Linked DNA regions of Xenopus tropicalis. The protein of the gene in region 1 purifies or fractionates together with the protein of each later gene. This does not show direct contact. Links are inferred from orthologs where the notes say so. Each region holds a gene or a part of one and is shown in the gene's direction. Other genes may lie near its edges.

Region 1 (4,565 bases):
ACAAAGAGGCTGAGAAAAGCACTTCAATTTAATATATTACAGCATATCCCGATAGTAATGTTCCAGGCCCATGGCTGCTGTGTCTAGGAATTCTTGGGTTTCATGGGCCTATTTTTTGAAAAGGATCCTCTATCTGCAGCTTCATCCACCCAATCCCACTGCAGATCTTGCCCTGGACTGATGCTCTGAAGCAGTTTGTCCCACAAACAGTAGCTGCATCTTATGGCAGCAGGCGTATACAATGCCTGTAATAAATCTCTAAGACTACAAGATGTGAGCAGAGTACATATATAGACCCAATACCCTATGATGCTTCCAGGCAATATATGTTTGGTAACTTAAAATCTTATGCTTACTTATCAGTGTTTGTTGCAACACTAATCTCTACACTAAACTCTATCTTTTCTGTATTACACTTTTTTGTTGCTATATTAAAGGAGACATATTGGATAAATGGGAAAACCCTAATTTTGTAGGCAATTATGAATAATATACGGTGCTGGTTTCCCTTTGGGCTAAACATTAACCCTATCTGTAACAATGGCCCCTTTACTGGAGCTCCCTATAGATCCTCTCACTTCTCTGTCCAGTGTGAAATGAAGAGTGGGCGTGTCCTAACGGTCCCTGCCAGAAGCACAGTAGGAGGGGGAGAGCCAATCACAGCCCTGCACTCCCACAAGCAAAGACAGGCTTCAGTTCCCTATCAGGTCAGCCTAGCTGCTGATTGGTTCCTATCTTATAGTGCAGGGTACGGAGGGCCATCGGCTCCCCAGCGCATCCAGAGAATTCAGCCAGCAGGAAGTGGAACAGATGGGCGGGGCTAGTGAGGTTTTGGGCGGATTTCTCAATAAATCAGCCAGAAACACAACTTTTTTAGCACAATCCTTCTATATCTAGAGGAGTATAATTCCCTGGCACATTGTAAATTTTTATAGGATATGTCTCCTTTAAAAAGTGCCTTACTAGCAAAGCCCAATATATTTTAAATGATCCTCTTGATATCCACCCACTACATGCTTGATAACCTCTTATTTGCCATTTCAAATGTACTTTCTCCCTTTTCTTTATTATGAAAGGTGGGGGCGACATTACAGCTCTCAAGAATTCCTCTCTAGACCAGAAACAAAATATAAATACATAAAAATTAGCACATGGCTTTCCAGTAAGGCAGTGAGGTGAACCCTTTGTCAGGACTTTGGTCTTCTAGCAACTAAGAGCATAGGAAATATTCAAATGGTGGAATTTCCCCATACAAAAAAGTACTTTGTGTACCCCAATTTTACTTTCTTTATATTAGGCAATCAAACGTTCTACCTGCAACACACTAATCAAAGCAAACTGATGAATGGTTGCTAAGGGTAACTAAACGTAGTAATTTTGCCCGATGTTAGGAAATCAGCCTAGAGACAGTCTAGTTATGAAGAGAGGGAAAATTTAATAATAAATGGAGGCGATACTGCCGCGGACACTCTGCTATAGCACTTACCTAGCCAGACCCAGTCATCAAAGCCTCGCAGAGTAACCAGCCTTGTACAGCTCCATTCTCTGACTGCCGTGAATAAAGGCTTCAGCAACACTGCCGCGGTGAGATCAGATAATCGCAATGTTTTTGGCAGTATGATTTGCTTTCGCTTTCGCTTTACTGGAAGCTGTGCGTTTCCAGGAATATACGGGGATTTTTAATTCTAATTCTAATAGAGTTGCGCACCCTGCAGCCAAGCCAGGCGGCACACACAGACAAGGCATACAAAGGAGCGAGCAGGTACACTGAGGGGACGCACAGCTTTTGAGAGGTAAGTGAGGGCTCCTTTGCATGCCCTGGCTTATGTACAAGGGCATTTTGTACAAACTGCAACTCTCACATGAACGGACTACGGACAGTAAATCTTAAGGGTTACACAGGGAGAAAACTGAGACTGCAGGTAGATCAGCAGTGTTACAGACACAGTCTTGTCTTACCAGGCACAGACTGACAATCTGTGAATTCTGGCAAATGCCAAGATGGCCCACTGATAGATGTCATATATAGTCACTATTTAGTGGGCTGGTGGGACTCTGCTCCTGCTTCAGTGCTAGGGACTGTTCTGAATCTTAGTCCAGGACTGAGCCTTGCTATGCACCATCCCACAGCTGCACCCTCCTCACTATAAAGGGGTTATTCATAGTTACATAGGGTTGAAAAAAGACCAGAGTCCATCAAATTCAAACCATCCGAGTAAACCCAGCACCCACAATCTATACTTACCAATCTATCCACTCACATACACAAACTATATATACAACCAGTAATACTAACTGTAGATATTAGTATCACAATAGCCTTGGATACTATGCTTGTTCAAGAACTCATCCAGGCCCCTCTTAAAGACATTAACAGAATCTGCCATTACCACATAACTAGGAAGGGCATTCCACAGCCTCACTGCCCTCACCGTGAAAAACCACCTACGCTGCTTCAAATGGAAGCTCCGTTCCTCTAATCTAAAGGGGTGACCTCTGGTGCGCTGATTGTTTTTATGGGAAAAAAGAACATCCCCCATCTGCCTATAATCCCCTCTAATGTACTTGTACAGAGTAATCATGTCCCCTCGCAAGCGCCTCTTTTCCAGAGAAAACACCCCCAACCTCGACAGTCTAACCTCATAGCTTAAATCTTCCATTCCCCCAGACATCACATATACAGGTATCGGACCCATTATCCAGAATGCTCGGGACCAAGAGTATTCCAGATAAGGGGTCTTTCCGTAATTTGGATCTCCATACCTTAAGTCTGCTAAAAAATCAATAAAATATTACATAAACCCAATAGGATTGTTTTGCATTCAATAAGGATTAATTATATCTTAGTTGGGATCAATTACAAGGTACTGTTTTATTATTACAGAGAAAAAGGAAATCAGTTTTAAAATTCTGAATTATTTGATTAAAATGGAGTCTATGGGAGATGGGCTTTCCGTAATTCGGAGCTTTCTGGATAACGGGTTTCCGGATAAGGGGTCCGATAGCTGTATTTTAATTAGGGATGCACCGAATCCAGGATTCAGTTCGGGGTTTTTCCGAAGGATTTGGATTTGGCCAGATCCATGCTCCTGGCTGAACTGAATTCAAATCCTTAAAATCAGTTTTTGTCATATAAACACAAAAGCAGAAAATATTTCGTCATGCACGCCTTTTAACCCTTCCGATCCTAATTTACATATACAAATTAGCAATTGGATACCGTTCTGTATTCAGCCAGATCTTTTACAAAGGATTCTGGGTTCAGCCGAATCTGAAAATAGTGGATTTGGTGCATCCCTAATTTTAATGTTACAGTTATAGTGTGGGTGCTGTGGTTTTTGACATATGATTTGGTGCCAGAGCAGAACTGGAACAGTGGAAAGTGAATTTCTGCCATTGTACCACGCATTAGCCAACATGTGTATCAGGGGTGTCTTTCACCTGCAGATAACTGTACGAAAATATTGGTACATGTATAAAGTCTAGGGCTCATTTATGAGGGTGTGCAAAATAACAAGTCACTGGGTCATACTCACCTGCATCTGAGGGGAGAGGGGGGCAGCCTCGGGGAGCCCGGAACACAAATCCGGCACTGTTTACACTATCAGATGCAGGCAAGTTATTGTTTAATGTTTCACCTGATTCTGGGAATCTGGTTTTGCTTACTCAAATGCATTAGATCTTTTCATGTGTCCGGACACATAAGTTGCGTGGAAGATTTTTTCTTTCAGGCTCCTTACTTTATCTATAAATAGAGAAGCGGCAGTGTAAGATTGCGGGCAGGGAGGGTGAGCGGAAGAGCTCAGCCCGAACCCGCCCGACCCGAGGGTTAACTTGTGGGTTCCGCGGGTATCAGGCCAACCCGCACATCACTACTGGTGATGCAGGCAGCTACTCTTAAGTAAGTTACTTTAGGCTAATGTTATTTAATACTACGTATTTGGAGCACTGTGGTAGTGGTAGACGCGATGGTGCTGGGTTCTAAATTTTTAAGTGGTTTTATGAAATTTCTTTCTGTTAAAAGGCTTTTTTTAACCAATAAAATTGTGCCTGATTATTATACCTAGGCATGGCTCTATATAAAAGAAGTATTTTACAGTTTTTATGTAGAGTTATATTTGTAAATGTAATCGCTATAATCAGTATTTGTTGTTTTTGTTCAAAGAGATGTATATTCAAATATGGGGGCATATCGGGGTAGCCTAATCCACTACATTTAATTCTCCATTGCACCTTGGCATAACTCAGTTGTTCTCTTTGCAGATTCAAGCTCACCATGAATCCCTTCTGGACTCTGAGTTGTCTTTTTGCAATTGATATTGCCACCTTGCCCTTAATAGGATCATTTCTCTCTCACATCTTACCTTCAGATCTCCCTCTAATATTACCTTGGCTGGTTGGCTTGTCACGGTTGCTGTTTTTGATCTTGAGTTTACGTGTACTCAGTAGAAGCTTCAGGCTCCCATTCCACAGAGATCATCTAAACCTGTACTGCACTGTACTAAGTCTGCTTGTTCCTATTTATATTAGTCTCACCTCTTTAGTGAACCCACATAGAAGTGCCA
Region 2 (4,414 bases), about 1.2 Mb from region 1:
GGAAGCTTTGAAGCAATTTTTCAAAAATTTCACAAAAAAATTATATAAAAAATTACAACTTTAGGAAAGCATTACAACTTGGTATATTGGAGTAAACAGACAGTTGTACCTATTCTGAATTTGCCAGAATCTGTTCTTTCTAAAAATGTATTATTTTCTGGGGTAAACCTACTATTGGTGGAACTTTTGGCCTTGAAATTTAAAGTATGCAGCTTTCTGGAGCAGTGCTTTGGAAATTTGGTAGTGTACTGCTGGGAGTTTTTGACCTATACAAGTGAGAAATCACCATATAACTATTGTAGGGACCCATGGGGTTAAGTTCCCTATGGCTTTACACCCTACCTCTTCACACCTTCACTGTTATTGGGCAAAGCTTTTATGCTCAGGTTTAGTTATGTAATTTGCTGCATGCTGTTTCCCAAGCAGAGCTCCATCTGAGCCTGGGAGCAGACTGTAGGCCCCAGAAGACATTGTACCCTAGAGGACATTATACCTCTAGTGAAAGTTGGGGACAGGGCCCCGTAAATGAGGATAAGCAAGCACAGCAGATTATTTAATAGCACTTTCTAGGAAAGTGTGCATAGTCAGCTCTAGCTAGAAAGGGCAGCCATTAGCCCCACCAAAGGAGTGATTAGATCCAGGAGTAGTCTCCTATCCGGCAATATTGCCTCAGTGCAGGGCCACAAAGTACCAAGGGGTACTGGTTGAAAGATGTGTATCCCGTCCCAGACTCTACCAAGAGGTGGGATAAAAAGGTGCATACCCTCTCTTCTGCATCAGAGCGTATATAACTTGTACCATCATACTGCTTGTGTCTTGTGAGTATATGATTACCCTGATTTCACCACTGCTTTGTCTGGGACAATAAATCTGTATCATAGTTTCACCATAAGAACCACTCTGGCGTCCATTTATACCATCTGCACTACACAGCCTCAGAAAGTTATAGTTCAGCTATACCCTCAGCTCCATATAGCGGAGGCCCCGCCTAAGAATTAAGGGTCGCATGTAACACATGCGCTACACTACGCTACTAGCCTGGGCTTGGCTAATCTAAGCCAAAATAGTGTTACACTATAAATCTTTGGTACTGGCACATTAAGAAGACACAGGACTTTCAAAATTGAAATTGAAAATTGTATTTTTGTGTTTATATTATGGAGATTTGTTTTCCCCATTTTCAGACATTTAAAAGCCTTTATCTTGTAAGAGAAGTGGAATTACACAAAAACTCTAGCTTAGGTTGACTAAATTGTCCAGCAATGAAAGGGTTAAGGTCTGGTTATGTTCCTATTAGTAAATTAATCCAAATAGGCCAAAGAAGAATACACTGCAGATTGAGTTACTCCATGCTTGTAGCACAGGGGCTGTGTAAGTGAGTGAAAATGAAAGTGAAAGAGACAGACAGGGAGGAGAGGAGGAGACTGTGGGATCAGTGAAGCTGCGGAATAGCAGAGGGGGGAGAAGCGCTGCACACACGGTAACGTTTGTTCTGTACAGCTGCCGGCCACAGGTCTAGGGAGTCTGTTTCTGTGCTGCACACATTTGCCAGGATGAATCCCACTTTCTTCTACTTCCTGCCGTCCCTTCTGCTGATTGGTAAGTGTCATAAAAGGTTTTTTGCGTACAGTTTTCCTACTTGCAGCGTGCCCCAACTCTCTTGCCTTATATTGTCCCCCCGAATCTTCTCCCCAAACTGTCCCTGCTTTCCTCTGCCTTCCTCCCCCCCCCCCCCCCCCTCACGGTCTGGCTGCTCTTATTGATTTCAGTCACCGATTAGGGCCTTTCCAAACATTTGCTTTCATTTTCTACTTAATATTGCTTAGTGTATACTTGAGCTGTGAATGTATTTGCACACTGAAGGCCTGTCTAACAATGCAATGACTAAATAGATAATATATTACATTAAATTCGATTCCACACAATAGACAATGACTTTTTGTTACAAAATGTATTTTACTATGTAAAAGTAAAACTTCAACTCCCAGATCTTCAGCCAAAGCATGCAGATTTGACCCAAAATACAGGTGTGCCATCATGTTGTTGTGCTACAACACATGTCAAACACAAGGCCGGGGGCCGAATCCGGCCAACCTAGCTGTTTTATATGGCCCATGGTGACTGTGCCTGACTGTGCTGTGACTTTGACGAATCTATCCTTCTACTACTAAGTAGAAAAAAAAATTTGGCCCGCGACTTAGCCTATATTTTCGATTTCGGCTCCCCTGTGCTACAATGTCACTCTTACAGGCAAAGGTTGTCTGGGGATCTAAAGGAAGGTACAAACACCAAAGTAGCTTTGTCTGGCAAGTACCATATATAGTGGGGGATGACATCTTGTAGTTCTCTCTGCCTAGATATTCCCCAGCAGGGCCGGAACTAGGGGTAGGCAGAAGAGGCAGCTGCCTATGGCGCAACGATTGAGGGGCGCCAGGAAGGAGCCTCTCCTGCCTACCCCTAGTGCTACTTTGTCATTGCCACCGCCGCTTGTCATTAGCGGCGGAGGCAATGACCGATCTAATTGCCCCGCCCCCCCTGCACCGCCTCCTGTGCTTTGGCGCGCATGCGCCGTTCGGGGGGCAGGGAGGTGGGCGGGGTTGCCTAGGGCGCCCGGTCGGCTTGGCCCGCCCCTGTTCTCCAGCCCCTCCTTTAGCTAGTGGTATTTCCTTTTAATGTTACAGTATTATAGGTAGTATTCTGTGCTTTTGGATCCAATAACCAAACTAGCTGTTAGAACCAGCATTTGATTTCCTTTCTTAAGTTTTAGAGTTGTGTGCAGCATATTTGTATGGAAACTAGGGATTCCAATACTGTTTTCAGCTTGGGATCCCACTGAATCCCAACACATTCTTCAGAATCTGGTTTTGGACAAACCCTTAAAACTGCCATAGACCTAAAGATCTGCTGATTTGGGGAGGTCACCCGATTGATATCTGGGCAATTTTTAGCCAGATATTGGTCAGACAGGCCTGTTGATGGGTATCCTACATGGGCCAACAAGCTGGCAACTCTGTTTGGAAGGACTGAGTTATGACTACCTTAACCAAAATGGGTACCCGTAAGGGCCCCGTAGACATAATTAGGGATGCACTGAATCCGCTATTTTCCGATTTAGCAGAACCCCAAATCCTTCGTAAAGGATTCGGTCAAATACCAAACTGAATCCTAATTTACAAATGTAAATTAGGATATTGAAGGGTTAAAGATGGGTTAAATTTTCAACATCCGTGTTTCTGTGACAAAGTCATCTGTTTTTAAGAATTCAGATTTGGTTCGGGCAGGAGCGTGGATTCAGCTGAATCTTGGACGAATCCCCAACCAAATCCTGGATTCAGTGGATCCCTAGAAATAATATTGTAAAAATGCAGCAATCAGGTGACAAAAAACTGTTTTCCAGCATAAATAAATGTTATAAAGGATGATAAATAGGCTCCCTAATGTGTAAGTGTAAAGCTCTGGAAAATTGTATCTGATGGTTATTTATTCACAGATGATGGAATGTTTTTAAAAAGTTCTTAAACTGAAATAAGCAGATTAGGGTTTAGTGTTATGGAGTATGTGGAGTATTCAGCAAATCCAAAAACTTTACACCCCTTACAGAAACAACTGGTGCACATTTTATCTCTTTGTTAATCTTATTTGTTGTGCTGAGGCACGGCACGTGATCCCACCCCACACCTGCACCCACTTGTTTGTAGAGCTCTGCATGTTGCACTGATGCCTGTAACGGCCATTTACCCTTCCCCCAGTCAGTGAGCAGCAATGTATAGTTTGATTTAGCTATATAGCTTTTACTCCAGTACTCTTGATGCAAATATCTGCTGATGCCTTATCCATGCTAAAGTTTGGGCCACTAGCAATGAAATTACTGGGTCCTACAGCAAAATCATTCCAAACATTGGAGCAATAATAATACATTTTTCATACACATACTGTATACTGAAACTGTTTATCAGTCAGTGCCATACTGTGTGTTCCTGTAGCTTCTGGGCCCCTCAGCAGTCGTGGGATCTGCATAATCTATGGTTTCACCAATACCTTGCTTAGAATGTATTTAGAATTAATTTTCCACACTTTTTTTCATTTTTATTATTATATAATAGTTCACCAGAATCACTGAATCTATAAACCATTCTATTTTTATACATTAGCAGATATTTCTTATCTTTGTCCCTGCTGAACAGATCCCTGGGTTTTATTTAGGGTGATGGGACACAGGGAGATTTGTTGCCTGCAGTTACATTTGGGCTCCTCACAAGGAAATGTGGGAGACATCAGAAAACGAAATGCTACATATGTTTTGCCAACAGTAATTTACTTTGTCGCCAGTGGGAAACATTCAGGAGAGATTTGTGGCCTCAGTATTCTAGATTTAACTCCCCCATGTAGCATCACCCTAAAGCAGCGGTTCTCA

What was found.
Region 2: the proteins of tap1 (region 1) and tapbp purify together in Homo sapiens (co-immunoprecipitation; 6 studies listed by BioGRID and IntAct, with this or other methods). This does not show direct contact. The link is inferred for Xenopus tropicalis from reciprocal best matches to the Homo sapiens genes TAP1 and TAPBP.

The regions. Positions count from the first base shown.
Region 1 is NC_030684.2:73,373,979-73,378,543, reverse strand, and holds the start of tap1 (antigen peptide transporter 1), read left to right. Parts: upstream 1-1,700; 5' UTR 1,701-1,793; intron 1,794-4,263; 5' UTR 4,264-4,276; coding exon 4,277-4,565. UniProt on the Homo sapiens protein: ABC transporter associated with antigen processing. In complex with TAP2 mediates unidirectional translocation of peptide antigens from cytosol to endoplasmic reticulum (ER) for loading onto MHC class I (MHCI) molecules.
Region 2 is NC_030684.2:72,159,993-72,164,406, reverse strand, and holds the start of tapbp (tapasin), read left to right. Parts: upstream 1-1,401; 5' UTR 1,402-1,553; coding exon 1,554-1,599; intron 1,600-4,414. UniProt on the Homo sapiens protein: Involved in the association of MHC class I with transporter associated with antigen processing (TAP) and in the assembly of MHC class I with peptide (peptide loading).